Rhinolophus ferrumequinum: one gene and its partners. The protein of the gene in region 1 interacts with the protein of each later gene in a pairwise test. Links are inferred from orthologs where the notes say so. Each region holds a gene or a part of one and is shown in the gene's direction. Other genes may lie near its edges. The genes, in order: PHF1, TFCP2, PDLIM7 and NAB2.

Region 1 (7,112 bases):
CGCTCATCCCGCAGCCACAGTGTGTTCCAGCTGCAGATCTCTGGGGAGCACACTGGACGAGGCCTACAGTGTGGGGCCCGCCTCAATCTTGTGGACCTGGCTGGGAGCGAGCGTCTAGACCCCGGCTTAGCCCTTGGCCCTGGGGAGCGGGAGCGTCTTCGGGAAACACAGGCCATTAACAGCAGCCTGTCCACACTGGGGCTGGTCATCATGGCCTTGAGCAACAAGGTGGGAATGAGGCTGGGTCAGGTGGGGCCTGGAGCTGACCATGCTGAACCCGATCCTAGCCTAGTCACTTGTCCCTCTCAACCTGCTAGGAGTCCCATGTGCCATACCGGAACAGCAAGCTCACCTACCTGCTGCAGAACTCTCTGGGTGGCAGCGCCAAGATGTGAGTGGAAAGGGTCGGAACTGTGATGTTGGGGTGAGGGGTGGGAAAGGGGAAACGGGGTCCAGGCTCCACCAGCCACTAATGCAGGGTTTTGGCCCCCTTTCCTCTCTCCACAGGCTCATGTTTGTGAATATTTCCCCACTAGAAGAGAACGTCTCCGAGTCCCTCAACTCCCTACGCTTTGCCTCTAAGGTGCGGTTACCACCAAGCCCAGCCTCTGTCAGGACCCCTGGGTGACTGTGGGCTTCTCTGTCCCAAACCCTTCTGTCCTTTAGGCCAGGGGCACATTGATCCAGAAAGGATTTATGTTGGCCAGGCGTCTGGGGCACTACCCACCTAGATCCATTTTTTTTAAATTAGTTTCAGGTGTACAAAAGAATGCACTAGCCATTTCATCCCTCACAAAGTGATAACGCCCCCCCCCAATCTATTGCCCCTCTGACTGATATATTCCATTGACTCTATTCCCTATAGATCCATTTTTCACCTGTTGGCTTTTTAGGGATTTTTAAGATTTTAAAAAGAGGTGGTTAAAAGGTCAAAACTACATATAAAGCTATATACTACTCCTGTCCGCCCCATGCTCCCCACCTGTCATTTTTATCACTTATCATTTTATTCTTCGAATGTTTGCTTTTGCAAATACAAGCAATACACTTGTGCTTATTCCCCTCCTTCTTACATACGAGTAAAAGACATCTCTCTCCCTCTCTTAGATTTATGTTATTCTACACTTTATTTCGCCTAACAAGACAACCTGAAGATTACTCCCCACAGGCACACAGAAATCATCCCATTATTTTTATATTTGCCTAGGACTCCACTGTGGATACACTGACGTTTATCACCTCTATTAGGCACTTGGATTGTTTCCGCCCCTCTTCTGTTACAAACAAGGCCATGTTGACTAACCTTGTACATATGTCATTTTCTATTTGCTTACTTACATCTATCTATCTAGGGAAGGATTCTTTGAAATGGGATTGCTGGATCAAAGGAGATTTAGAGGTTTTTCCAAATAGTGTGAGTTCAGGCTCCAAACCCCACGAGGGTTAGCCATGGCCATGGCTATGAACTCTCTAGGAGACTTATGTTCCCTCCTCTAGAGCTGAGTCAGAAAGTTTCTTTACAGTCTGCCTCTGGAGGGAAATTTTTTCCCTGAGACTATACCCTGTGATGGGTTCTGGCTTTAGTAAGAGTCTCTGATCACGTGTGCCTTTCTGCCGCACTCAGGCTTCAGCCTGTGTTGTTGCCATGGAAGTAGTCAACCGCCTTCGCACCCTGACCTGGTCTTCTGCTTTAATCAGGATTTACCTTGCTATCTTGCAAGTTCAATTAAAGGTATATCAAATCGTTGACACCCAACAACTTGAACTCTTTAATATCCTCTAATACCCAGTTTATATTACATTTCACCTGATTGTCTCAGAAAATGTCTTTTATACTTTGGTTTGTTCTGATCAGGATCGAAGCAAGGGCTACTCATACTATTTGGTTGAAATGATCTCTTAAGTTTCTTTTCATCTATAACAACCCTGCCTTCTTTTATGGCATTTATTTGTTGAAGAAATTGGGTGATTTGTCCTATGGAATAACTATATCCTGGATTTGGGCTGGTTGCTGCCTTTTTCTTCCATAATTGTTGTTGTCTTAGGAGTTAGGTTTAGAGGCTTGATTAGATCTGAGTCAGGTTTAAATTTCTTAGCAAGAAAACTTACATGGGGTTGTACACGTTCTATTGCATCATAGCAGGAGGCACCTAATATCTAGTTGTTCCACTTTCAATGATATAAAAATTGATCGTTGGATTTGGGTATTGTCAGCCTGATCTATCCATTAAAAAACTCCCTATCAACTTTTTTACCTAGTGATTTGATCAAACAATGATCATACCTAGGTCTATTGTTTCATTGAGTTAAAATGGTGATGATGATGATGATTTTTATTTTTACTTTTTAAAAAGTTTTGGTTTTTTCCTATTTTTTCTTTTTTCTATTCTTTATTTTACTTTATTTAAAAATGATTTCCTGATTTTCTCAGTTCTACTTTAATTAGCCCAGATTCTTCTATAAAGTGCTTCCTATTGCCATCTATTTGATTACTCTAAAATTCAGTCCATATAGGAAAGTTGGGATAAATGTTGAATTCTTTATCAATTTTAAGTATACATTGATACTCTAGCAACTTCCAAAGGTAAACAGTGAGTTTTTATCAAGGGGTTATCTTTACAGATGCTTATGTATTTGATATGTGTCCTTGTCAGTTGTCATTCATTCTTTTTATGCTCAAATTACTCCATCTTTGTCCAGTGGGAGCTCTTTCAAATTGACTCTTGTGTCCCTTAGGTCCCCAGTAGTCTTTATTCTAGGTTCATCTTGTACATTGCCTGCCCTAGACTAGGAATCATTCATTTTCCAAGGAGCCTTGGTTCCTAAATGAGTGTTGGTATTGTTCTATCTAGTTTATTCAGCGCTAGTGATGGGAAGGATTTGGGGTCTCTAATCCACAGTATTGCTAGAAATGAAAGCTCCTTCTCTGTCTGCTCCTGTGTGGTGGGGCTCCCATCCCTTCTCAGGCCTTTTCACCACTTTCAGACCTAGTGTGCCTAGTGGACATAGAACCAACCATGGGGATTGGGAGGTTGATCTTGGGAAACCCAGCCTGTTGGTTACTCTGAAAATTTTTTTATCCTGTCTAACCCCCCTGCCCGCAGGTGAACCAGTGTGTTATTGGTACTGCCCAGGCCAACAGGAAATGAAAACAGATCCAGATCCTGGGGGTTGGGGGGTTGGGGCTGAGAGGGTGATTTGGGGGGGGAAGGGGGGGCACTGTGTTACCTGGACCTATTAAATAAAGAAAAGTTTTTTGGGTTTTTTTTCAAATAAAGGTTTTATTAGCAATTGCTCAAGAAAGGACATATTTTTCACATCTGTAAATATGGGGCTGTGGATCTGTCCACTCTGCCCAGCAATTTGTGTTTTGCAGTGCAAAAGCCTGCACTTTGCTTTTCTCCCTGACAAGCTGTACCCTGAGTGGCCTTCAGCTCCCATACTTTCCTGGTTGTCCACACCTACCATGTTTCCCGGAAAATGAGATCTAGCTGGACCATCAGCTCTAAGCCCTAATGCGTCTTTTGGAGCAAAAATTATAAGACTGGGTCTTATATTAATTTTTGCTCCAAAAGACACATTAGAACATTAGAGCTGATGGTCCGGCTAGGTCTTATTTTTGAGGAAACACGGTAAGAGGTGTGCCCACTAGCTATCCACAGCCACTAGTTGTTTCCCCGCTTGCCACAGGCCACCCTAGCTCCGGAAAGGTGGCCACCTGAACCCAAGGACGGGACTGACACACCCTCCCATTAACTGCTGGCTCTTTCCTCCCGCCCTTTCCCGGCCTTCGCGTTCGAACGGCCAGGCCTGGCCCTGCCCGCTGCCCATTGGCTGGCTCTCGGCGGCGTCACCGCCTGGGTTCTAGCCCTCCTTGGTCGGCGCCCCGGCCCTGGAAGTGCGGGGCGGGGCTCACGCCCGCCGAGACCGTCGCGCCAACAGCCAACGGCCGCCGCCCCAGAAAGGAGGGGCTCGGCCCTCCCAGGTGCCGCGCGCAGGAGGGGTCACGCGTGCGCAGAAGCTAGGGGGGACAACTTGCCACCTAGAGGGTGGGGCGGGGGCAAAGGCGGGAGAGGAGGGCGGGGCACTAGAGGGAGGTGGGCGCGGAGGGGGCATAGGGAAGGGTGAATGGAAGGCGGGGTCGTGAACTGGGGTCGGGGGCGGGACTTGGAGTGACCATGGAGGTTGGGGGGGCAGTTAACGGATGTGGCATGGGGCTGGGGCCAATCCGGAGGGCGGGCTGCCGGGAGGCGGGGGATTCCCTCCTGCCCCCTGGGCGGGTCTCCCTTCCGAAGAAGGGGCTTCGGGGATTCCCTTTCCCGCCAGGTCAGACTGTCCGCCCGCCCCACCAACGGAGAGGCCGCCGCTGGCTCGGCGCCCTCCAGGCCTGTTGGAGGTGAGGGAGGTGGGGTGAAGTAGTGCCCGTCCCCCCGCCCCCCGGCTCCTCCTTCCCCCCAGTCCTCCCCTCCCACCACCCTCCCCCCGAGCCAGTTTGTCCCTCCCCTCCCCTCCCCTCCTTCCCCCCGCCGCCTCCTCCTGCCGCTGCCGCTGCTTTGGCTGCTGCGTCATACGCCCCAGAGCCGCCGGGACGGAGGGGCTGGGCCTGGGGACCCCCCGGCCTCTGCCTGCACGCCCCCCGACGCCCAGACGTGCCCTCCCGGCGCGGGGGGTTCGCCTCGGTCTCCCACGTCTGCCTCTGCCCAGCTCCCGGCGTCCCCAGCTGTCACTGGTAAGGAGGCGGCGGGAGGCGCTCGTGGTGGGGGGGGAGCAGGGAGCCGGGGGTCGGCGCGCAGGGCGCCAGCGGGAGAGCCTCGTCGCCCTGGCATCGGGTCCGGCTGGGCCGACTGAAGTCCCCTGTTGGACTCGCGGTCGTGGGTAATAGAGACTGGGACTGGGACACGCCCCCCTCCCGGGGCACTCAGGGAAGTTATCTAACCCGAGGGCAGGGAGCCCCGAATTTGAGGGCGACCTGACATAACCTGACATCAGGATAATTGTTCTGAATGAGACACGCGGGCCCAGGGAGGCAGCTGTTTCTACTCTGGAAAACATCGCTGGAAAAGCTCCCAAAATACATCTCTGGGTAACAGAGCACCCCAATTATGATACCTCTAAACAGCAGGAGAAGGTGACAGTAGAAACTGAGTGGTAACCTTTGCTTCTGCAACCATTGTTTCTGCTAAAATCTCAAGGCCAGGATATAATATCCCAGGGGAGGTCTGGAAGCTGGGAAACTAGAGAACTAGGTTGGGGGTGGGGGGGGCCGTTAGGGAGAGGAGAGGCAGTCACCAGAGTTGGGAGAGCTGGAGTCAAGAAGCTTGGGAGGGGTGCTGATTGGTTTCCTATCCAGGTGTCTCAGGGATTTGGAGACTGGTGGGGGGGGGGGGTGTGCAGCTGCTTCAGTCCTTGACAGAAAAATAGGCAAATAAGGAAGGTTTCTTGGCTTTCATAACCTTCTCCTCCCATTCCACTTCTGGCTAGGCCCCCCCCAGGATGCAATGGCACAGCCTCCCCGGCTGAGCCGCTCTGGTGCCCCCCCACTTTGGGACCCAGCTTCCCCTGCTCCCACCTCAGGCCCCAGGCCTCGACTTTGGGAGGGTCAAGATGTGCTGGCCAGATGGACAGATGGGCTGTTATACTTGGGGACCATCAAGAAGGTAAGACCCTTCTGACCTGTCACCTCTCCCCATTCCCCTTATCTAATGCTGATTCCCATTTCATCCTCTATGCTCACCCATTCCAGGTGGACAGTGCTCGGGAGGTGTGTCTGGTCCAGTTTGAGGATGATTCCCAGTTTCTGGTTCTATGGAAAGACATTAGCCCTGGTGAGATCTTAGAGGCCTGGGAGTGGCTTCCCATGGAAGACAGAAACCTGGCTTGGGGGAGAGAAGGGGACCTAAGGACAGGTTCCTTGACACTGTGTTCCCTCATAGCTGCCCTCCCCGGGGAGGAATTCCTTTGCTGTGTCTGTCGCTCTGAGACTGTGGTCCCTGGGAACCGGCTGGTCAGCTGTGAGAAGTGTCGCCACGGTGAGAGGGCAGGACACCTGAGTGGTCCAGCTTGCCCTAGGCCCTCTGGGCGGTCTCTGACCCTTCCCACCAGGACTGGTCCTATGCCACCTATTCTGGCCTCCGTCCCCAAGCTACTGCTCTGGCCAGTCTCCTTGAACCTATAGTCTCACTCCCTTCCAACATAGGAAAAGGCAGCCATGGAATGGGGCTGTGTGAGCTTTGCAGGCAGAGGGTGGTTCAAATACTCCCTTTTCAAACCATAGGACTTTGGGCAAGTCCCTAAACCTTTAGGAGCCTCAGTTTTCTCACCTGTAAAATAAGGGTAATACCCCTCCCCCTCCCCAGGACCATGGTCAAGGATTAATGAGATAAGATTCTTCCTATCCTGATACCTAGCACACGCAGGTTTGCAATGCAATAAATGCTCTACCATCGATAATATCATTCTTCAGCTTATCACCAGGACTGCCATGTTCCAAGGGCCCCAGCCCCAGGAGAGGGAGAGGGCACATCCTGGGTCTGCCGCCAGTGCATCTTTGCCATCGCCACCAAGGTAAAGGCATCTTCCTGTGGGAGCCTCCCACCCACAGCCTCTCCCGAGTCTTTCTCTCCCCACCCCTCTGAAGCAGCCTGCCGGTTCTCTCTCTGCAGAGGGGGGGTGCACTGAAGAAGGGCCCCTATGCCCGAGCCATGCTGGGCATGAAGCTATCTCTGCCATATGGACTGAAGGGGCTGGACTGGGATGCTGGACATCTGAGCAACCGGCAGCAGAGCTACTGTTACTGTGGTGGTCCTGGGGAGTGAGTAATGAGGGGGCGGGGTTAATGAATGAGTGACAGTGTGGTGGTGGGGGAACCCCAGGGAATGGAGAAAGAATGGTGAGGGGAGTGCTGAAGGGGGTGGGAGTAGGTGGTGAGCAGGGTTGGGGCAGTTAAGGAGGGAGTGTCTAGAGGTCACCAGTCCCGTGTCCCCTTCAGGTGGAACCTGAAAATGCTGCAGTGCCAGAGCTGCTTGCAGTGGTTCCATGAGGCCTGCACCCAGTGTCTGAGCAAGCCTCTCCTCTATGGGGACAGGTGAGACCAGGGCACTCTCCAGGAGCCC
Region 2 (7,817 bases), on another chromosome or scaffold:
GCTGGACTTGCCACTGAATCACCAGGTCCTGGCCCCGGCGGCCTGGACTCCTTCCCCAGCTCTAGGCCTAGTGCTCACCTCAGTGCTCCGCCCAAGCTCAAGGTCTTCCTGGCCTCCCTGAGCACTGTGAACGGCCCCCTCAATGGTAACAGGAAACATGAGAGCCTGGGGCACCCTCAGCGGGAGGCAGGGGCTGCCTGCCTCCTGTCCCCAGGACCAATACAATTTCCAAGAAAGACAACAAAAAACATGATTGCATTTCTAGGAGAGGTTAAAACTGCAATGAGATCAGTTATTAAATCTAGAATTGCTATCATGGGCTTTTAGCACAAATTATGCCATTTTGGGCCTGTGGGTTTTCTCTTTAATATATGTATTTCTTATAAATCACAATATCTCAGATATTCCATGTGCTGTGGACAGCTGTGAAGGGAGAACTGGCATTTTATGAACTAGAGACGATGTGGGCTGGTTTCTGGACTCAAGATGAGAGAGTTGAAGGGAACCTGAGCTTCCTTGGAACTGCGTGGGTGTGAAATTTTTTTCATTTCCTTGTCTCTCAACTGCAGGGTCCTTCAAAGAAGCCAGACTGGGCCTCATGGGCTGTCTCTGTGGGATGTAGGAAAATGTAGAGTGAAAGCTAAATGGTCAGCCCCTCAAAAATGTCTGCTTGGGTAATTATTTCTTTCTGTACCTAGAGGAAAAAGCCCAGTGATTGATCCCAGCAACAATGACTGACTTGAGTAAATGAATGAGAAGGGAAGCGTAGGGGATGGAAGGGTACTGGTCCAGGAAGCTCGAGCCCTCAAGCCTCTGAGAGAATTGTTTTGTCTTAAGAGGTAGGTAGGATAGGTGCTAGGGTCCCCTTCTTGTCAATCATAACAGTTAACCCTCACTGATCACTGACTGTGTTAGGCTCTCTTCTAAGCACTCAACATGCATTATTTCAGTTAATCCTCACCATAATATTTTATAAAGTAAGAACCATTATTATACCCATTTTACCGATGAGGAATTGAGGTATAGAAAAGACAGGGAATCTACTAAAGGTTGCTTTGCTTGTGAGCAGCTGAATCAGGTCTTGAACACAGGTGGGCTGTCTCTAAAGCCTGTATGCTTAACCTTACCTCTTATTTACTGGGTGGGACCTGGGGATTGCTATCTTTCCCGATCTCTTTGGTAGGATTTCCATGTTTCCACCCACCAGGGTAAACCTTGCTATGTTCCATCTAAACCAGTCTAATTTCAGGACCTATTCTAGGGACAAGAACCCTTCACAATGAGCCTTAACTTTACCCAATGGTCTAGAATACTGAATTTGGAACTCTGTGCCACAAGTTCTCTGGTTAATTAGTGATATTTATTATGTCTAACAAGAGCCATGATTTTTGTTGTGGGATGGATTTATAACTGCAAAAATTTGGTTTCTTGGTAAGTGTTGCTGGGTTCCCAGGAAAACACTGGTGATCTTTTCTTGGAGGCAGAGCCCCTAGGACTGCCCCTGGCATCCCTGGGTTTCCAGCCCTGCCACTCTAATTTCACTCTTAGTTATTTTGAGGAAAGGGGAGGAGGAAAAAGTCCACTCCTCCCAGTAATAGAATTCCAAGGATCTTCTTCCCTCAGGGAACTAGGCTCAAGGACATAAATCTCAAGGCTGATCTGCATTCCAATTGGGACAGGCCAAGGCTCAGGAATCACCTTTCATTTCACCTGTTTATTTTAGAATTAATCAGAATTAAGATAAGGAAAACCTTTGCAAAGTCTCTGTTTTGGTTCAGAATTTAAACATAGGCTCAAACATTTCCAAGAAATACATGTTTTTCTTTTTCTAAATATTTTCCAGAGAACAAAGTTCCATTGAGATTCCTGGATATGGCACAGTTATCTCTTCCAAACATCTAATCTGAATACTCCTTGTTTTATTTTAAATCCATTCCCTTTGAGCTATTTTTCTGTATATGAGAAAACATCCTTCCTCCAATATGCCTCATGGGCACAATTTTCTGAAAATTCAATATTCTCACTTCCACAAGCTTCAAATTCATCTCTGAAAAGAACAGGAAGGAAGCAGATCTTTTTAAGGTTATAACCATCCCCAGGGACAGGGTGGCATGATGGTTAGATGCCCAGACTACGAGGTCAGTCAGTCAGACTTTACCACTTTCAAGCTGAGTGACCCTAGAAGCCAATTAATTTTTCTAAGCCTCAGTTTCCTTATCTAGAAATTAATCTAGTAATGGTATCTTCCTTACAGGAGTGATGTGAGGATGAAATGTTTTATATACATAAAACACCTAATCAGGGCTTGGCACTTAGGAAGGGCTCAGTAAACATGAGACTGTCCTTATTAGCTACTATTTGCTCTGTATCTGTGCAATTCCTAGGAACTTGTACCACCAGCAGAGAGGTATCACTGTAGACAAAGCCCAGCTAAGAGAATCAGGGACCTGGATTGTAGTTCCTGGCTCAGTTGCTAATTTATGTAATATTTGTTACAAATTCAAGAAAATATTTTTTGTAAGTTATGAAGCATAATGATGAAACAATCACCCACGGACCTACCATTCACCTTAAATAGACTATTAACCACTGTTGAAGCTACTTTTGAGTTCCTTCCCTAGCCCATTCCCCTGCCTTTCCTTAATGTGACCATTTAGAGTTGTGTTTATCCTTTCATTCCTTTTTAAAGGAATGTATGTATATTTCCCTAAATTATATATTGCTTAATTTTTCTGGGGTTTGATCTTTGTAAAGTGATGTCACATTGCACAGACTTCTGCATTTCCCACCACAATTCTAAGATTGATTTATTCATGTGTTTGAGAGTAGCTGTATTCATTTTCAGTGCTGTGTAATGTTCTCCTACACTCTAGTTTATCCTTTTTCTTCTTGGTGGACATTTGTTTTGCTGCTATAAATAATGCTGCCATTAACATTCTCATACAAGTCTCCTGATATGTATGAGTTCTCTAGGGTAGTGTGAAGTTGCTGAATCACAGAGTAATATTCAGGAAAATTTCTAAAGAAGTTATATATAGAGCTTGATCACTCTGCCCTCTCTCAGTCTCAGGTTCTTCACATTAAAAAAAGAAACAAAAACTTCTATGAGGATTAAATAAGACAATATATGTTAAAGTACTACTAAAACCATAAGATACCATACAATGTAAGTTAATTTTTTTAAATAGGATAATAATACCCACCCAATCTTAAGAGAAGCAGAAATGGGCTAGTGGGAGACTGGAATTAACATTTATTGAATAATTATTATTTATGTGGCATCTTAGCACTTTATTTAATCCTCACAATAATTTTGGAAGAAGGTTAATACCTTCTTTCAGTAATTTATGGATTAAAATACTGAGGCTCAGAGATGTAAAGTTACTTGCCCAAGATTATGCATCTAGTCATCGACCTGTTGGTCCGTCAAGGCATGGTTTTCTACCTAATAGATGTTTTAAATACCCAGGATACAATGCTTGAATACAAAGAATTTTGATTATGACATCTCTCTTTTGGTTTCTGAGCCCAGGACCCATTTTTTTTTGTTTAACCCATAGGCATGTTTTGAGATAAAACTGCCTCAAGGTAAGAAAATATGGCTTGAAGAGATACTGCGTGTCACAGGAATGAACTAAGACTTGGATGCCAGGGCTTATTAAGGTAAGAAAATGGGTAAGCCTAGAGCCCTCAAAAAGAGAAGCCTGTGGCTGAAACAGGGGACATACTGTCAACTTCATGTCAACCTCTTTCTTTTTTTAATTCAGTAAGTATTTTTACATTTTAAAAAGTCCTACTGAATGCAGGAAGTATCTAGGAGATATTTAGAACACAAGCCTGAGAAAGACTTATTTTCTATAGATCATGGTCTAGTGGAAAAGGCAGATATATACAATATTTCAATTCAAGGCAGACTGTAAAAAATTCAACAATGGACTACAACAATGAACCAATACTTTCACATATAGGCAATGTCTTGTGAAAAATGTCAGGCTCTGAAGTTGGCACATCAATTTAGCTCTGGCCAATTTAAATGCTTAGCCTCCCCTCTCTGCTTGCTGGTAAAATACTTACCTTTAGAATTATAGTTCTAGTTACATGATTGTCTTGGGGATTATTGATAATGTAATTAAGTTCCTTGTATATAGATGACGCTCCATAAACAATGGACATTATTATTTAGTCCTCACAGTAGGAAGGTGGAACAAGTATGGTTATCCCTACATTTCAAATGAGGAAGCTTAATTTCACTGATATTAAGCAATTATTCTGAAGTCACCAAACTAGTAAGTGAAGACGCGAGCCCAAATGCTGATCCTCAGATCACCACCTTTTAAAAACCACATTTTCACCTTTCTTATGTCTTGTTGTTCCAATGCATTAAGAAGAATGAAGAAGATAGGATGACGATAGAAGGAAGTGGGACTTAAGCAGAGTCGTGACCTCCAGCGAGGTGAATTTAAGGAGAGTATTCCAGGAGCAAAAGAGCGCACTTAGGGAGCATCTCGGAAACGGTCGGGTCCGCCAGGGGTGGGTGTGGGTTGGGAAAACCACAGCAAAGGCTCCACCCACGCCTTAGGGTGCGGACTTAGTATCTAGCGGGTGCCGGACCGAGGGTAGCCACAGGGAGGGACGTTTAAACTGAGATACCTGACGCACACCAGGTCCTCTCCCAGATCGCCCAGCCCATCTTCGGGGCGGGGAGCCATGGGTTAACTAACCTATCATCACTGCCGAGGCCGACGAAGTCTCTTTTTCATTGGTGAGCGACAGGGTCACGTCACGTTCGCCGGACCGGCAAAGCAAGGGGGCGCCATGATTGGTTGGCGCTGGGGCGGCGGGCGGCGGAGGAGCGTGGCGAGTCTGGGTTTCAAGTCCGTGCTGGACTTTCTCCTTCCATGTTTCGAGGCTTGCGGGGCTGCAGGGGACAGGGATTCGGCCGGGCAGGAACCTGGATGTAGTTCTCAGAGCCGTGGGGGTGACCGGAAGTGATCTTGGGGCTGACCGGAAGCGAGGCCTGGAGGGGACGGGGAGACTGGGTCCCCGGGAAGGAGGGGGCTCCCAGCAGAAGGGGGCGGGAGGTTAAGGTGCGGAAGCGGCGTGGGAGCGCTGGGTAGGCAGCGGGTGGCTGCTGCTCCTCTGGGAAGCAGCGAGTGACCACCACGACCAAACGGGGAGAGCCTAGGGAGTGGGAGTCCAGGGCTGCGTCTGGGCAGTCTGGAATAATTAAGCGGTAGGACCGTCGCACGGCTCCAGGGAGCTGGGTGGGAGGGATTTTGGAAGTCTGGACAGCCCAGAACAAGGAGCCAAGGGTACGGGAGTTTAGGTGTGCGGACATTGCGGGTCGGGCTTGGGGGGCGGCTGGGGGGTACTGAGTGGGAGATCTTGGTTTGGAGTTTTCTGCATTCTTGCCCCCGTTGGGTAGAATCACACTACTCACCTTTGTGCAAGAAACGGTGTCTCCTGGGGCAAGGAAGGAGCCAGGATGGCCTGGGCTCTGAAGCTGCCTCTGGCGGATGAAGTGATTGAATCCGGGCTGGTGCAGGACTTTGATGCTAGTCTCTCGGGGATCGGCCAGGAACTGGGTGCTGGTGCCTATAGCATGAGGTGAGTGAGATTTTCCCAGACCCTGCACCTTCTGAATAACAAAGGCAAAGAAAGGACAGAGAATAGGGATGGGGGCCGGGGGGAGTTGGCGGGAGTGTTTCGAGTTAAAGAAGCTGTCGGCGGTTAGGGAAAAGGGACTTGTTTCTTTTCGTCGCTCTAAGTAGTGAGTATTGTGGAAGACATGGAGCAAGAGATTTTAGGCAGTGTCATGTCCGCAGTCAGAGGAAGAAGGAAGAATGGCCCTTGATTAGCAACCAGATTAATGTTGAGAGGCTGTTGTGCCAATGTGGGAGCCTTGGAGACTGATGGTGTGTGTGTGGATAGGCTGGACTGGACTTAACGTGAAAAAGAGGCCACATGGAACATGGGAGGGATGTCTAGGGAGCTGAGGAGTTGGGAGCTGGTGGTTATGATGAATATTGGTTGAGTGCTTGTTGGAAGGAAATGTGAGACCTTGGTGAAGAAGTCCGCACATCTGTATCATAGCCTGCACAAGGCCTGTAAAATGAAAAACTGTCAAAGAGAGCTTTTAGATGCTTCTAGACCTTCAAGGCAAATGGTGATAGTAAATAAAAATATTCTTTGAAAGCAACATAACTTTCCCATGTAGTGTATTTGCATGCATTAGCTACTTCATTCCCCCAGTATAGTTTGTTTCGTTTATAAGATGTGTAAGAATCATGTCTGGAAATGTTGAAACATCTGCATCTAAATATTTGGGTAAGCTAAATAAGGGAGTCAAAAGAGACTGTAGAACATAACACTTTAATTTGGAAAGATGCTTTTCATGGAGAAAGTGGACAAATTTTGTATTCTGATAGTAAGATCCTTTGAGAATTACATAATGTAAACATCCTTTCTTTACCCCTGTTAAACCAAAGTAGACTTTCCTCGTGAAATAAAATTATGAGTTAGAACTTAATACTGCATCTTCAGGAATCTTTGCTTACAGTTAGAATAATAAAGGCTCTCCGTGTATGCATATTTTAGTGATTTTCAGGGAAATTTGAGTTCTATCACACAGTGCTTTTAGTCTTGAGAAATTTAACTCTAGTTTTCCCTGTTCTTGTTTACATGAGTCTGACCATAAAAAATAGAGATTAACTTGGTCTGAAAGTACATGTCTGGACCCTGAGCTTGCATGCCATAATCTGACATAATATTTGACAATTTATGCTATTGTTCATGTAAAGATTACCACAGCAAAATGCTCAGTTTTTGCCTAGGTTATCAGAGTTTAGGATAGAGATAATTAAACATAACTGCACTTGTTATAAAAGTAGTTAACATTGTCAACAAACATTTGTTTATCTACTATGCACTCTACTGTGCGACCTTAATACTGGTGAGTGCTTTCTGTGTCTGAGTGGTTTCACAGATATTAGTAAGAATGGCTTGCATATTTACACATTTAGAATTTTTTGCCATCATCAAATCCAGAGGAGTTTTCAAAACATCATTTTCAAACATCAAATGTAATGTTTTCTTAGGAGCACAATGTGCCAAAATTTTATTTTTTTCACCTTTTTTCATGCGTTTTGCTCTTGTCACTGTTCTCTTAGATCTTGCATACTTTTACTCATTTGCATTAATTTGTGTTAATAAGATACTAGTTCTCAAACTTTAGTATTCATAAGAGTCATCTGGAATACTTATTAAAAGTAGTTTCCAGGGTTCCATCTTTGGTGATTGGGCACAGACCAGAAATTCGATGTTTTAAAACAAGTTCTTAGATGATTTTGATGCAGGTAGCCCAGGGACCACATTTTGAGAAACACTGACTAGAGAGGTTTTGATAGACAAAGGCAAGGAATGGTTTTTTGTTCTTCCTGTTTCTCCTTTTAATTAGACCTTGTGATTGGTTTTCCAACACCTTCCTTAGGGAAAACGTTTTCTTTGACAAGCAATTTGTTTTGTAAAAATTTTTTTGTAATATATTTATTTTATTCTATTTTGCTTATTTTAATGGTTTGTTTTATAGAGATTCATCTTAACTAGATTTCTGTTTTTGATTATTGATCTGCCATTGTATTTAGTATGTTCTTTTCATAAGTGGTTCTTTAATGTTCTCACATTTTTTCTTACATTTTAATACATGGCAGATACTTTATAGTTAAAATACAGGAGATTCCCTGGAAACATGCTGAATGAGAGAAGCCAGTCACAAAAGACCACTCAACATGATTCCATCTCTATGAAATATACAGAAT
Region 3 (7,532 bases), on another chromosome or scaffold:
TGCCAGGCTTACTGTCCTCCCCTCCTGCTACTCCTGTCACCACCCCTGGGATCTCCATGTACACGAGCATCGTGTCCCCGAGGACCTGGCCTCCTGGCCCGTCGACCACAACTCTGCCTCAGCTGCCCCATACCTTTGGCACATCCTGAACTTCATCTTAAAGACAGTGATGCTCCATTGTCACTTCACAGTGACACAATCATTTCCAAACATCTGCCTTGCCACCTCTCCTTCCGGCCCACTTTTTCTGAGGGTACATAGGGCTCCTCAGCTGCCCGGAGCCACAGAGACCCTTCTTGCACTGTCTGCACGACTGCTTTCCACAATTCCATCCTTGTCCTACTTAGATTCTGCAGTCCCCTAATGGAGCCACGCCCTGCACGCCCTGCTCTTATTTGTCCAGCAAAGCCCCAGCCTCCAACAGTGCCTGGCAGTTGCCCATGGCCAGAGACATTAGAGAAATTCATGTAACCAGGCTGACTGCACTCTCTTCACCAGCGTGATCTCAAACCTCACGGAGACAGGCTCTCCATGCTGCCCAGAGATCCTGTGAAGCATGGAGAAAACCAGAGTACCTGGGAAAACCAGAGTAGCTGCTTTTTCCCTCCCCAAGACCTTCACCTTCTCTCCACCCCTGCCCATTCCCACCTTGCAGATATCCAAACAAAGAGTGGCCCACAGAAGTGAAGCGCCTCCACCTCCTCCCACCTACAAGTGCACCTGCACTGTCTTCCCGACCTATGTTGGAAGAAGTGTCTGTTCCCAAGACGTCCGTGCTCTGACCCCAGCTCTTCTCCCCTCCTCACAGCTCGGCAAACTGACTTGTCTCCTCTCTCCTCGACCCGTTAATTCCATCCTCCTCATTTCCAGCCTCACCAACATGCTCTATAATTTCACATCTTTAAAAGAAACCTTCCCTTGACCTCAAATTCTCCTTCAGCACCTCCCCACTTCTCTGTTCCTCTTCACAGAGAAAGTCCTCAAAAGAGTTGTTGATTACTCTCATTTCCACTTTCCTCCATTCTTCCTTCCGACTCGTCTCCCCGTGGTGCCCACTACACCATTACATTGCTCTTATCAGGGTCACCAACCTCCTTGTTCCCCAAAACAAAAGCCGCTGGACTCCCTTTGGGACCAGGACTCGCCCCACGTCTCAGCAGCACTTGACACTCCTCCTTCACTCGTTTCCCTCCTCCCCTGCTCCAGCTCTGCCTAGGGCTCTGGCCTCCGACACAGTGTGACTCAGCCCTGGCTGCACGGAATCACCTGGGAGCCTTTAAAAGATGCCCACGCCTGGGCCCACACCCAGGGGCTAGGGCTTCAGTCCAGCCATTTCTTCAATTCCCCAGGTGATTGCAGAGTGCAGCCAGGCTTCAGAACAACAGCCCTAAGTGAGCCAATCCTGTCTCCATGTCTCCCAGACGTGGCGTACCTTCAGTGCAAACCTCTCCAATGAGCTCTGGATTTAAGTGTGCAGCTGTTCAAGATTCTGGGTGTCTAAGATTCATCTCCAAATGTCATGTGAAGGGAGGCTGGGGGAAAGGGGCTGCGTGCAGTGTGGCCACAGATGGCAAAGCCTGAAAGGATGTTTCAGCCACGGGGAGGCAGATTTTGGCTCCACTTATGGACCTTCCTTGTGATGGTAACGTCTTCTCATGAGCCATCTGGCTGCCTGCCGTAGAGCAAGCTGAGACAAGGAGGCTCCAGTCAAGTGTCTGCTGCAGGGACCCCTCCACCCCATGGTGGCAATCCAGCCCTTGCCAGCTCAGCAAATCCCAGTTCACACTGTAGGTTACCGAGAGTGTCAGGGACATAGCCAGAAAGGACCCAGGACTCTGAGTACCCAATCTGGTGTGCTTCCCTTTATTACAAATCGAAGCCTCTTTGTTTCATGGCAGTGGCTGTGAGCTTCCCACCACACTGGAAGCAAAAGTCTTTGGAAACAGATTTCTGGGATTTTAGGGTCGTTGCCCTGCCGCTGCAAGTGTCCTGGCCACGAGGGGGCAGTGTGTCCTAGCCCAGTGCCTTTCCCTACCCAGGGGCTGCCTATGCAGGGAGATCTGGTGGCCTTCCAGGTCTGAGTCTTGCACAGTCCCAAGGAACCAGATCCTGGGGTCCTCTCTGCTGGAGGACTGCCAGGACCCCCCGGCTGACCCTTCTTCCTTCGCTCAATTTCTGTTTCACCCTCTCATTTTTTTCCTTCACAGCAGGGACACTGTGTGCAGGCACTGGGGAAAATATGGACAAAACAGACAGCCCCTGATCTCATGGGACTGACATTCTAATGGGGACAAAGGGCAATGAAGAAACAAACACTTAATATAATGTCAGATGGTAGTAAGTGCCCTGGGGAAAAATAAAGCAGGATAGGGACTAGTGCATGATGTAGGTGAGGTGTCAGGGGGCTGCTGTTTTAGATAATATGAATCAGGGAAGGCTCCTCAGAGGCAACATCTCAGCAGACACCTGAACAAAGTGAGCGAACCTGTTGTTTAGATAACTGGGGGAAAATGTCTCAGGCAGAAGGAGCCGCAAGTGCAAAGGCCCTGAGGCAGGAATATGCTTGACGTGTTGGAGGAGCAGTGAGGAGGCCAGAGGGACTGGAGTAGAGTGACTGAGGAGGAGACAGGTGGGAGGTGGAACCAGTTTATTAGTGCCATGTACATCTTAAGGACTTTAATTTTATGTGCAACATGAGCCCACCAGAATGCTAAAAGCCAAAGGTGATGTGCTACAATTTTTGCTTTAAAAATATCATTTTGGCTGCTGCAAGGAGAAGATTCTGGAGTGGGTCAGGATAGAAGCAAGGAGATGTGTTAGAAGACTGTTAAGGGGTCTAGGCACGAGATGGGTGGCAGCACCGATGGTGGCAGTAGTGACCAGATGTGGAACATATTCTGAAGGAGGAATTTGCAGAATTTGGAGTATGACAGAGAAAGGAAGGAAGGATAACTTCATAGTTTTTACTGGACCAGGTGGATGAACAGTGGTGCCATTTACTGAAGTGAGGAAGGAGCTAGGGAAGTGGGAAAATCACAAGTTTAAATTGGGACATAATGATTTGCGATATCTAGTAGACATCAAGTAGAGAGGTTGGACAGGTGGTTGGCTATTAGAGCCTGGCGATCTTGCGGGGAGGTCAGGGCTACACACATAACTTGGTAGTCCTTGGCATATGGGTGGTATTGAAAGCCACAGGACAGGAGGAGGTCTCAGAGAGGAAGTGTAGAGCGGAAAGATCTGATGGCCAGGCTGGGGGACAGATGACGACCTTCCAAGGAGGTGGAGAAGCAGCAGCAATGGAGGAGGAGGGATGAGGCTGGGGAAAGTTGGAGTGCGCCTGGACCAGTGCTGTTCCTAGGTAGAGTCACAGGAAAGCTGAAGAAGCACCACTGATTTGATAACTCAGAAGTCTTTGGAGACCTTGAGAAGAGGGAATTAGTTCAGAGAATTGAAGTGGGGAGGACAAGAGCCCGACTGGAGTGGGTTCAAGAGAGAACAGGAGGAGAGCAAGTCGAGACAGCATGACAGAATTCCTTCGAGGAATTTCACTCTCAAGGGGAGTAAAATAAAAGAGCCATAGCTGGAGAAGGACGTGCGGTCAAGAGAGGATTTCTTTAAACACGAGACTCGTACAGCAGTTTGTGTAGTGAGGGGAATGATGTACAAGAGGGGGGAAATGAGATGATGGCGGAAGGGGGCGAACTGCAGTGCCCATGTCCTAGAAGGAGCTGAGTTCACTCACCCGCACACTCCCGGTCTCTGCTCAATTTCCTCCTCTCCGCCTACGCTGCTGCCCAGGTTGAGCAGGGACGGAGGAGCAAAGTGGGGACTCTGACACCCCCACTGGAGGCGCTGCCCGCTTTGGAACGGAGTACCAGGACACATCCCACCTCGACAGTGTGGGGCCAACCCTGAGCCGTGCTAACCGACCAGGGTCAGAGGGCAGGGTCACAGGGCAGGCTCAGGGCCCAGCCAAGGGGCCCCTCCTCTTACTTCCACCCACTCCTACCATTGCTTTCTGCTTTCAGTGCTGTGCAAACATAGCTTCAAATTTCCCTGTTCCCCCTTCAACTGACACCAACTCGATGTGTGCCCCCCACCAATTCCCTCAGCCGCCGATGGCTGAGCCTTACGCCAAACAATGCTTGTCTTCACGGCGGCCCTGTGAAACGAGCATTATCGTCCCATTTTTCCGAGGAGGAAATTAAGTTTCAGAGACGACTGTTTCCAAAGGCGGCTTTCTTTTCAGTCGACCAATAGGAGGCGCAAGGGGCTGAGCGAGCGGCGTCGCGAAGCCCAGGCCCCGCCCAGACCGCAATCCAGGCCCCGCCCAGACTCCATCCAGACCCCGCCCAGACCCCGCTCCGGCGAGGGGACCCTGGCGGGCTGTGTTTTCCAGCTCAAAGCGAGATGGGACTTCGTGATTGGGCGGGGCGGAAGGATTGGGTGGAGCTTCCCACCGCCGGAGAGGCCAGTAGGGGGCGTGACTTCGATGGGGCGTGGCCTCGGGTACCGCCCCCTTCCGCGGTCTCAAAGCGGACGGCGGACGCGGGGGCGGGGTCAGAACACCTCGGCCAGTCCCAACGCGGTTCCTTTGAGCCCGCTGCCGAGCAGCGCCCCGGAGGGGCAGAGCAGGTACCGGTGACCGCGCGGGAGTTTTGGGCTGGGCCAGGGAGGGGGCTGCTAGGGAGCACAGAGGACTTTAGGGGTCGTGGCCAGCACTGAGCTTCCTCCCGCGGGCGCGGGCCCCTGCCTTCGACCCCGCCTCCGCCTCCGCCTTCCTGCGGCGAAGCCGGCTGCGGCGGGGCCGATTGGCGCCTGCCCTGCTTCCTGCCCCCGGGACTTGTCCAATATTGTGGGGCCCAGGCAGGGGAACCAGGGGGAAACTGAGTCACGTCTGGATGTAGCAGGCCTGTGTGGGAGGCACCACTTCCACTGAGCCCCAGGATGAATCTCCTTCCTGGCCATGCTTTGGGGTCCCAACCCCCACCGATTTCCGCAAGGGCCGCACCCCTGCCCGCCCCCAACCCCCAGCGCCCAGGGGTCCCGCCCTGGCTCGACTGGTCCCGGAATGGCTAGGACCCGCTCCAGCCCCCTCCCTTTCTCCCCCTCCCCCCGGAGTCCCGAGCCCCCGGGTGCTCCCTCGGCTGGCTCTCTGCACAGTGTCAGCTTACACGCCTTATATAGTCCGAGCAGGCTCCAGCCGCGGCCTGCCTGCTGGGACCTGGGGGCGGGGGAGAGGAGCGCCGGCCCCTGACTCACCCCACCGAACGAAACTCAAGGCTGGCTTGGGGGGAGGCCGTGCCACATTAGCTCTGCCGCCCACTCCTGGATGAAAAGAACCTAAAAGCTAGATGCGGGCTCTGCTCACCCTCAACAGTCCCTGGAGGAGGGGGGTTGTTCCTGTCTTTCCAAAGTGAGACCTGCCAGCCAACAGTCCAGCCAGACCTGACAAGGAGAGGAGCCTGACTACCTGTGCCCTGGGTGTGCTCAGCATCTGCCCTTGCCTGCCTGGCATCAGTCCAAGGCTGGTGTATGGAGCTGCACGTGCTTGTGTACCCACCATACCAGCCACTCACCTTTCTCTCCTCTCAGGAGAAGGCACCATGGATTCCTTCAAGGTGGTGCTCGAGGGGCCAGCACCTTGGGGCTTTCGGCTTCAGGGAGGCAAGGACTTCAATGTGCCCCTCTCCATCTCCCGGGTAAGCCTAGGTTGGGGGAGGGTCTCCCTCAGGAGTCTTTGGGTGCTCCAGTGTGTATGGGGAGTGTGGGAGGGATCTGAGCAGGAGTGAACCAGGGCCAATAGGCCAGGAGGTATCCGGGTCCAGAGGTGTGGGGGGCACCTGCCATGAAGACTCCCAACTGGGTTACTGGAAGAGGAGCCCCCACACTTCCCCAGCACTGCACTGTATCTGATGCCACTCCAGGAAGCTCCTGGGGCCACCTCTGAGGCCCCAGGGGTGCCCTTTCTGCAGGAGGGGAACCTGAGGTCTCTAGGAACTGTCTGAGCAGCTTGAGGGAGCAATACTTGGAGCCAGGCTCCAGGCAGGGCACTCTGACTGCAGGATCTCACTTCAACCTCTTTGCCACCCAGGAAATAGCCATTATTATCGTGGTTTTCCACATGAGAACTCAGGGCTGAGAGATGGAAGGGCTCTTTCTGAGTCCATGGTCAAGCAGGAATTGGCATTAAGGTACTAGGATAGCTGCAGTTTGTGGGTAGGACTCCGGGTGGGTCTTCCAGCCTATGTGAGGACCTCCATCCCCACCCACTGGTCCCTTACTGGATGCAGTGACCTTTGACCCCTAGTGGGTGTGGAATGAGGTGTAGGGCTCTGACCAGCTCCTGAGAGCCTGCCCTGGTGGGGGCGGAGCTGGGGGCTGGCTCCTCCCTGTGGCAGGGGGATTGCCTTATAAGCCAAAGAATGCAGCCCCACACTGGGATGGCTAACTGGTGGCTATAGTCTGCAGAGCCCAAAAAGGCTTGCCTAGGCCTGGACCCCTGAAGCCCATCAGTGGGTGCCTCAGCTGGTGACTACCAGTCCATGGCTCCAGTTGTAAGGCACAGAGAACAAACTGCCTACCTAGGCACAGTGAGGTCAGCCCTTGGGCTGGAGTCTGACTAGTCTGGGGGTTAGGAGGGGGTGGGGACTTCCTGCCCCCACATCCGCCTGTCCAGAGAGGCCCACCCAGGCATCTGGTGGGCAGGCAGCTGTTGGCAGGAAGCCCAGGGCAAGCACAGCCCAGAGGGGGCCAGAAGGTTGTCCAGGCACTGCCCAGCCTTAGAGGTGCCCCAAGGTGGAGTAGGTCTGTGGGAGTTGGGCTTGGTGGCCAGGGCAGGGAGTTGGTTACCGTTTTTCCCAGGGACTTTTCCGAGGGGTTCCCCTGGAAACTGCCCGGTCAGCAGGGTAGTTAAGGGCAGTGGTCCCCCTAACACACACACACACATACACACACCCCTGTACAATCCTCAAGCCTTGCAGCCCTGGAAACCTGTCCTATATCCCCCTCCCTGGGAAACTGCTGGCTAGTGTGGCTGGGGAGCTGTAGGCCTTGGCTGGCATCTGAGCCTCAGTTTCTTCTTTGGACGGGATGGGCAATGTAGTGGTCTGGGGGGTGTACTTTCAGATGTGGCCTTTTGGGGGCACTCTTGGCTCCCTTGTCAGCAGCCCTAGCATGTGGGTGGGACCACTAGCTGAGCCCAGCCCTGGAGTTGGACCTGGGCCCTAGTGGGTGGGTGGGTGGGGTGGTCTTTTATGAGCTGGGGCGGTTCTCTCCCTCTCCCCTGACCCCAGCATGGAGGGAGGGACTAGGGCTGGCTGTGGGCCCAGGCCTGGGAGATGAGGTAACGTCTGGGACTGGGGGGTTGGGCTGCTCAGTGGAGCCCTCAGGCTGACTCACCCCCCACCTCATGCAGTGTCCAGCCCCCTGGCTTTTTCCCCCTCTTTGGTCGCTCTGGCCTCCTTGCTTCTCTCTCCAGTCACCATCCCTTCCTACTATCCTAGTTCTCCTGCTTTTCTCTCCGCCGC
Region 4 (6,968 bases), on another chromosome or scaffold:
GTCTATAATATCCTTAATGGCCTCGTACACCTCCCTGGGCTCCTTTTTAAGTACCACCACCACCCATCCAGCAATAATTAACAATTTCTAGTTTCTCAAACATATTGTTTCATACTTCCAGGTAAGTTTACATTCTGCTCTCTCTGACTTGACTGTGGCTTCCTTCTGGAAATCTGTTCAGACTTCAGAATCCCAGGCTGCATCATCTCCTTTAGATGTCTGTCAAAACCTGTCCCTCACAACTCCAGGCAGAATAGATCACTGGCTTCCTATACTTATGGCACCGTTTGTACCCCGTATTATTGCATTACATTGTAGTTGTTTATCCGTCTATCATCTCCCCTACGAGTCTATGCGCTCCTTAAAGGCAGTTCCTTTGTCTTTTTGAGGCACAGTGAAGCACCTCCTCAAAGATGCCTAAATTGAAGGATAACACTCCTTAGACTATAATTCTAATATGTTACTGAAAAAGGAAAAAAGGATCATTACTTTATATTTTTCTATTATCAGCAAAGATTTCAGCCTTCTACCTTTAACACCTGGGCATGAATTAATTTACCAGAATAGTGGACATTTTAGAAGGTCAAGGAACCAGACTTGTGAGACTTGCTGGAAACTTTAAGAAGGATGGAGACATGGAAAACAAATGTCTCCACTTAAACAGTTTTGCCCACGTTCAGCTCCTTTTGGAGTAAAATCTATGTCAATTGCCCTTTTCAGAGTTGCTCGGGCCTAGAAATAGCATCATCAACCCGTTTGTTTCAGAGGGCCCACCAGATACCCGAGCTACCCCGCAGAGGTCTTGGGCTATGGGTGAAACAAGCAACTATAAGTGAGTGTACACAGAGCCATGAGGCCACTGAGGGATGGGAGCAATTCTGCCCAGAGGGAGTACAGGAAGGAGAGGGTCCAAGAAGGTGACATTTGAGCCAGACCTTGCAAAGTAAGTTGGATTCAGCCTGGTGAAAAATTGGGCGGGGTGAGGGGATGCGGGTTAGACGTGCAATCTGCTAATTAAAATGTACACATCCCTGGGAATGAGAGTCCGCCAGGTTCGGGATTTCCTCACTCCTCTTTCACCCAATTTCTTCACCGTCTTTTCCCCTTTTCTTGGAAAATTGGGACTGAGGATACTGTTTCCCATCCTGGACTCTTCCACTATAGACAATAAATTAGTCAATTATTTATTAATAAATTATTCATTGACAATAAATCATTTCATTAAAGGGGATCCGTAGCTCTGCGTGCCTATGAGAACTCTGAGGTGGGGGGAGCAGATAAGTCAAGTAGGGAAGTGGTCCTGGGCCACCCTGGAGAAAATGGAGCCCACGCAGAAAACGAGAAGAAATGAAGATCTTTGTCCCACCCACTTTTTGTCATCTTCCACACACACACCACCCCTTATCTTTATGTTTTTCTATAGTTTCTCATAGTCTCAGCCTCTCTGTCTCTGTGTCTCTCCTTTTGCTAAAGACTGGAAATTCCTTGTTCTCAACGGAAGGGAGTAGGAGGGAAGATGGGGGTGGTAGAAGTGGGAGGGAAGCAAAGAACAGACATCTCAGCAGCCCTGGCTGCGGGGGTGCTCTGGGCTTTTGGTGGGGCTTGACAAGTCAATGATTTTTTAAATGTATACATTTTAAAATCCACACATAGGGGCTCACATACAAACCTAGACAGAGGCACAGATACACAGTGGATGTAAAGAAACACATACAAATAAATACATAGTCTCTGGCTACAGAAGTACGAACTGGCTATAATATCTTAAATTTGCTTAGCATTTTACAATGTATTTACAGAGTTTTCACATACGTCCTCTCATTTGAACCTCCTGACAACCCTGAGAAACAAAGATAGAAACGCCCAGGAGTTTCACACACAGGTTCCTACGCCGACAGACACCTAGGGGAGATGGCAGGTTCTGTCGGCGGGATTTTTCTCCCCTCTTCGGCCGAGTACCCGCCCCAGGACAGAGGAGTGAAAGCCTCTGAATTGGCTCCTCCCTCGTCTTCTTTCCTGGGGTGGGACCTAGGCGCCCGGCGCCCAGTGGGTAACTGCCCTCTTCCTCAGTCCAGCGTCTCCCTCAGGATACGGGGGCTCAGCACCGCCCCAAGAGGGCCAAGTGGGAGGGAGGGGGGCGCCTCAGCAGAGGCTGCGTGGGCGGAGGATGTGCGTCACGGGGAGCGTGGGCAGGGGGAGGGAGGAGGCACGTGGAAACCCGCGGCCAGCGACTGGCAGCCCAGACTCCAAAATAACCAGAGGGGGATGGGGGAAGGGCGCCCACACAGAACACAGGGGGTCGGAGAGTACCCCCCCAAGGAGCCTGTCTAGCCGTGCCCCCCAGTCGCGGGATAGGGGATAGGGAGGGACTCAGCTTTGTCCTATCACCCCACACTGGGTTGGGGCTTAATGGGGCGGGAAAGAGAATTTTAGCTACTGAAATCCCTCCAGTGATGTACCCCTCCTCTTCTGCCCCCAGCGGAGACCGAAAGGTCCCCTCGCCAGGCCGGAATGTAGAACCAGCCTCCGCACACGCCGCCCACGCCCTGCCGGGCCCGGGCCACTCAGAACTGCGGAATGATGGGGCGGAGTTGAGGCTTCAGACCGAGGGAACCTTGCCTCTGGCCAGTCTGTTCGCTTCCAGTCTCCCTCCCCCTTCCCCCAGCCATCGTTTCCTCTGGGCCTAGAGCCGCAGGGCCAGGCCCTCAGAACCCCCGCCTGTCCCCAACCCAGTCCTCCCAGCCGTGGGCGGGAGTGTAATGGGAACCAGATGGGGCTAGAAGAAACAAAGGGGGGAGGGATGGTGGGTTGTGGAAGGGGCTAGGATCCTTGAAGGAGCTCCTCCCTCCAGCTCCTCCGTAGGGAGCCGCGCCATCGGCTCCCGGCCTCCTGCCCAGCCTCCACTAGACTCTCCACTAGACTCTCGAGCGAAGTTCCCTAATAGACGTCCCCCCAGAAGGGGTATTCTCCATATCCCAGCTTTGCCACACAGGATTCCCCAGGACCAGGTTCCCATCCTCGGCAAATAGGGTACGAATAGTAGACGAAGGCGGGGTATCCCTCCCCTCCCTGCCTGACCTATGCGCTAACAAAACCCTACGCGTCTAATGAACGCGTCTAAGTGGTAGGTTCTAGCATAACCCGCCCATTCCTGTTCCCCGAACTTCAGCTTGAACTAGAGGCAGGGATGGGGAAGGCCTGGGTTTCCCAAAGTGGTCTCTTCAAATTACTCCTTTCCTGGCCGGAGAAGAGCGCTGGGATACCTAAGAGATTCCTGCAAAGCCCCAATCGCACAGAACTGCCACAAATGCACACACTATGGGAATCAGATGCATGCACGAGAGGAGCCGCGCACCCTGAAACTCCGCCAACTTTGCTCGGCTCACCCCTAACATTCACACGTCCACCACCGCGAGTCCTGAGTGTGGGCAGTGGGCGTCCGCGTAGTTGTTTAGGCGCGTGTGTACGTCCGTGCGTTTCTCTGTGTCTTTGTGTACCTGTGCGTGGTTGAGAAACTCCGCTCTCCGCGCGGAGGGGGGAGGAATGTCGCCTCCTGGGTGCTCACGTGGGTAAGTGGGCGAGAAGAGGGCCGGCTGTGCATCCGGCGTGGGTGGCATGGAGCGACCTCACCCCTCCCGCTAGGTCCCCAAACCCGCCTTCCCTATCCCGGCCTCGGTCACCCTAGTCCCACCTCGGCGCCCCGGCTCCGAATCCCCGCCCCCGCCTCCTGCTGTACACCCCCTCCCCCCCAGTCTCCGCCTCTCCTCTCCGTCGCGGTGTCTCCGAGGCCCTCGGAGAGGCCCGGGCGCCCGCCCCCCGCCCCCGGCCTCCGCCCCCATCTCTACCCACGCCCTCCGCCCGCCCAGCAGCCAGCACCGCGCGGGGCCTCGCTCCCCGTGCGTCCTGCGGGGGCGGAGGCGCGGAGAGGCGGCAAGCGCAACCGGGGAGTGGGGGGGCAGAGGCACAGACAGAGTCGCGGAGGCTTGGAGAGAGGAGACGTGGAGGGAGGGACGGAGCCCGGACCGCGGCGGACACGGCCTCGCGCGCCGGGAAGAGCGCAGCGCGCACCAGGCGCCGAGCGCCGGGCATCAAGAGTGGTAGCCCCGGTGGTCTCCGGCCGTCCATGCACAGAGCGCCCTCCCCCACAGCCGAGCAGCCGCCTGGCGGAGGGGACAGCGCCCGCCGGACTCCGCAGCCCAGACTCAAGTTAGTGGGCAAAGGGAAGCGGCGGGGAGTGGAGATGGGTGGAGCTGGACTCGGAAAGGGGTCCGGAGGGCGGAGGTCGCTGAGAGGACGAGGGGAAGCGGGACGGAGGTGGGGGGTGGAGACTGATGGAAAAGGGGGTGAGTCTTCAAATTAGGGGGCTCTGGGAGCAGGCAGGAGATTTGATGAAGCTGGATGTGAAAGAACAGTATCTAATTCATCCCCCGTTTACTCTATGGGCATGACCTGGCATGTGAGCCCCCTGCAAAGAACGTGGGGGCCCCCAAGCGCCAGGGGAAGCCTTGGAACTCTAGCTGGTAGCATTGTCGGGGGAGGGCCGCTCCGCTGGCTCAGCCTGTCTTTGGCATGGGGCACGCGAGCCCAGGGATCCGGCAGAAGCCGGCGCTTTTGATCCAAGAGAGTATCAACGGGGCTGTGGAGAAGCAGGGGATACCCTAGGCGTCCTTTCGGATTTTCTGTACCTTTATTTACAGTGTGGGGAGGGGAGTTTCGGCGTGCAGCCCCTCCCTCACGAGGACTTGAGCCGCTCCCCCACTCCACTTGAGATGTGGGTGGAAAATAAGGGAGAGGGTAGGCGGGAGCCCCCCGGCGGTTTTCGCCTGCAGACGCTACCACTGTAGGAGTTTGTGTGGGCGGAACAGGCCCAGAGAAGAACAATTGAGGCACTCCTCCCCTCCCCCCTGCCTGAGTTGAAGGGACAGGCCTACCTACAGAGCAGTTGGGGAAGGTCACTGCTGCGAGAGGGGCTAGAGGGGGAAGGGGTGGCACTGAGCAGAGGGGAGGTCCTGGAAGGAGAGAGCAAGAGTGTGCTAAGAATGCCTAACTGGTGGAAAAAGCTGAGGGTAGCGAGGAGAGCAGAGGTCCACCGGGCTCACAGAATGGGAAAGGACAGCTAAGGGGCCACACCCCTCTCAGGCACATGGGCAGGATGCCACTAGGGAGTGAAGCTGGCCAGCAATGGTCCAAGGTATCCCCTATGGGGAGGATGGGAAGGGGGTGTCCTACATTCACCTCAGTGTGAGATATCACCAAGTAATGGGCAGACCTACTGGTATTTAGAATGGAAGGTGAGGACCATGTTCTGGAGAAGAACTAGCCATCCTGGGGTGTGCTGACTCGCCTCAGTGCTCAAGGTCTCCTTGCCCAGGCCAGAAAGGTAAAAGCTGTGGATAGAGGCTAAGAGACTTTGACTTCTGCAGAGACTGGGCTGGCTTTTGGTACTTCTGGTCAGTTGGGATGGCACTGGCGTGTCTGTGCCTCTGAACAGTGCCTGATTCTCATAGTCTGGGCACTGGGCAGAAAGGGCATTCAAAAGAGAGGAAGAGGAGCAGGCAGGAAAGAAGACAATTGTGAGTGTGGGTTGGTACCCAGTAGGAGGACTGACTGCCCCCCTCTATCTCTTGTGCTCCTCCTCCTCAGGCCTAGTGCCCGAGCCATGGCACTTCCTCGGACACTGGGGGAGCTGCAGCTGTACCGGGTCCTGCAGCGCGCCAATCTTCTTTCCTACTATGAGACCTTCATCCAGCAGGGAGGGGACGACGTGCAGCAACTGTGCGAGGCGGGTGAGGAGGAGTTCCTGGAAATCATGGCACTTGTGGGCATGGCCACCAAGCCCCTCCATGTCCGACGCCTGCAGAAGGCACTGAGAGAGTGGGCCACCAATCCAGGGCTCTTCAGTCAGCCAGTGCCTGCTGTGCCAGTCTCCAGTATTCCGCTCTTCAAGATATCAGAGACTGCAGGCACCCGGAAAGGGAGCATGAGCAATGGGCATGGCAGCCCAGGGGAAAAGGCGGGCAGTGCTCGCAGTTTTAGCCCAAAGAGCCCCCTTGAACTTGGAGAGAAGCTGTCACCACTGCCTGGGGGACCTGGGACTGGGGATGCCCGAATCTGGCCAGGCCGGAGCACTCCAGAGTCTGATGTTGGGGTGGGAGGAGAAGAGGAGGCTGGCTCACCCTCCTTCTCCCCACCTGCAGCAGGAGGAGTCCCTGAGGGGAACGGGGCTGGGGGTTTGGCAGCAACTGGGTCTGGGAGTGGTCCGGATAGACTGGAGCCAGAGATGGTCCGCATGGTGGTGGAGAGTGTGGAGAGAATCTTCCGGAGCTTCCCAAGGGGGGATTCTGGGGAGGTGACTTCCCTTCTGAAGCTGAACAAGAAGCTGGCGCGGAGTGTGGGTCATATCTTTGAGATGGATGATAACGACAGCCAGAAGGAGGAGGAGATCCGCAAATACAGCATTATCTATGGCCGCTTTGACTCTAAGCGGCGGGAGGGCAAGCAGCTCAGCCTGCATGAGGTGAGGACCCCAGCCTCCCAGGATTGCTCTTGGCTGCCAGGCCTCAACCTACTCACCTCTGAGAATCTGCACACTCCCAAGTCTGTTTCATTACCCCTTGACCAGGACCCCCGCCCCTGACCCCTTCTCTCCCACTCCAACCCCAGCTCTTGCAATGCTTTCCTCCTCAAGTGAGGGGAAGCAGAGCCTACCTGTCCTATCTGCTCAGGACCACACAAGAGTGAAGGAGGCTCCAGGCCCCTAAAAAGCTGTGGGTGCTGACCTCTGTCTTCCTCAGAAATCGGCATAGTGTCAAAACCCAAGCAAGCATCTGACGGGTGGGCCTCATTTGTCTGATGGTGAAGGATTGTGAGGACATCTGGACAGGCAGTGGGGAGTTAGGATTCTGACTGCTCTGGCGGTTTTGTCCACAGCTGACCATCAATGAGGCTGCTGCCCAGTTCTGCATGAG

Evidence for each region.
Region 2: the proteins of PHF1 (region 1) and TFCP2 interact in binary tests that used the Homo sapiens proteins (3 or more experiments, as listed by UniProt). The two-hybrid records come from large-scale screens. The link is inferred for Rhinolophus ferrumequinum from reciprocal best matches to the Homo sapiens genes PHF1 and TFCP2.
Region 3: the proteins of PHF1 (region 1) and PDLIM7 interact in binary tests that used the Homo sapiens proteins (3 or more experiments, as listed by UniProt). The two-hybrid records come from large-scale screens. The link is inferred for Rhinolophus ferrumequinum from reciprocal best matches to the Homo sapiens genes PHF1 and PDLIM7.
Region 4: the proteins of PHF1 (region 1) and NAB2 interact in binary tests that used the Homo sapiens proteins (3 or more experiments, as listed by UniProt). The two-hybrid records come from large-scale screens. The link is inferred for Rhinolophus ferrumequinum from reciprocal best matches to the Homo sapiens genes PHF1 and NAB2.

Annotation. Positions count from the first base shown.
Region 1 is NC_046286.1:3,721,772-3,728,883, forward strand, and holds the start of PHF1 (PHD finger protein 1), read left to right. Parts: upstream 1-4,109; 5' UTR 4,110-4,729; intron 4,730-5,481; 5' UTR 5,482-5,498; coding exon 5,499-5,657; intron 5,658-5,743; coding exon 5,744-5,825; intron 5,826-5,933; coding exon 5,934-6,029; intron 6,030-6,463; coding exon 6,464-6,564; intron 6,565-6,662; coding exon 6,663-6,811; intron 6,812-6,988; coding exon 6,989-7,084; intron 7,085-7,112. Other genes in the region: kinesin-like protein KIFC1, read left to right, coding at 1-228, 318-391, 508-583, 3,105-3,149. UniProt on the Homo sapiens protein: Polycomb group (PcG) that specifically binds histone H3 trimethylated at 'Lys-36' (H3K36me3) and recruits the PRC2 complex. Involved in DNA damage response and is recruited at double-strand breaks (DSBs).
Region 2 is NC_046293.1:51,630,265-51,638,081, reverse strand, and holds the start of TFCP2 (alpha-globin transcription factor CP2), read left to right. Parts: upstream 1-4,801; 5' UTR 4,802-4,874; exon of another isoform or gene 4,875-5,425; 5' UTR 5,426-5,485; coding exon 5,486-5,607; intron 5,608-7,817.
Region 3 is NC_046307.1:5,128,160-5,135,691, forward strand, and holds the start of PDLIM7 (PDZ and LIM domain protein 7), read left to right. Parts: upstream 1-4,518; 5' UTR 4,519-4,638; intron 4,639-5,598; 5' UTR 5,599-5,609; coding exon 5,610-5,705; intron 5,706-7,532. UniProt on the Homo sapiens protein: May function as a scaffold on which the coordinated assembly of proteins can occur. May play a role as an adapter that, via its PDZ domain, localizes LIM-binding proteins to actin filaments of both skeletal muscle and nonmuscle tissues.
Region 4 is NC_046293.1:56,142,761-56,149,728, forward strand, and holds the start of NAB2 (NGFI-A-binding protein 2), read left to right. Parts: upstream 1-3,964; 5' UTR 3,965-4,123; coding exon 4,124-4,206; intron 4,207-5,643; coding exon 5,644-6,517; intron 6,518-6,930; coding exon 6,931-6,968. UniProt on the Homo sapiens protein: Acts as a transcriptional repressor for zinc finger transcription factors EGR1 and EGR2. Isoform 2 lacks repression ability.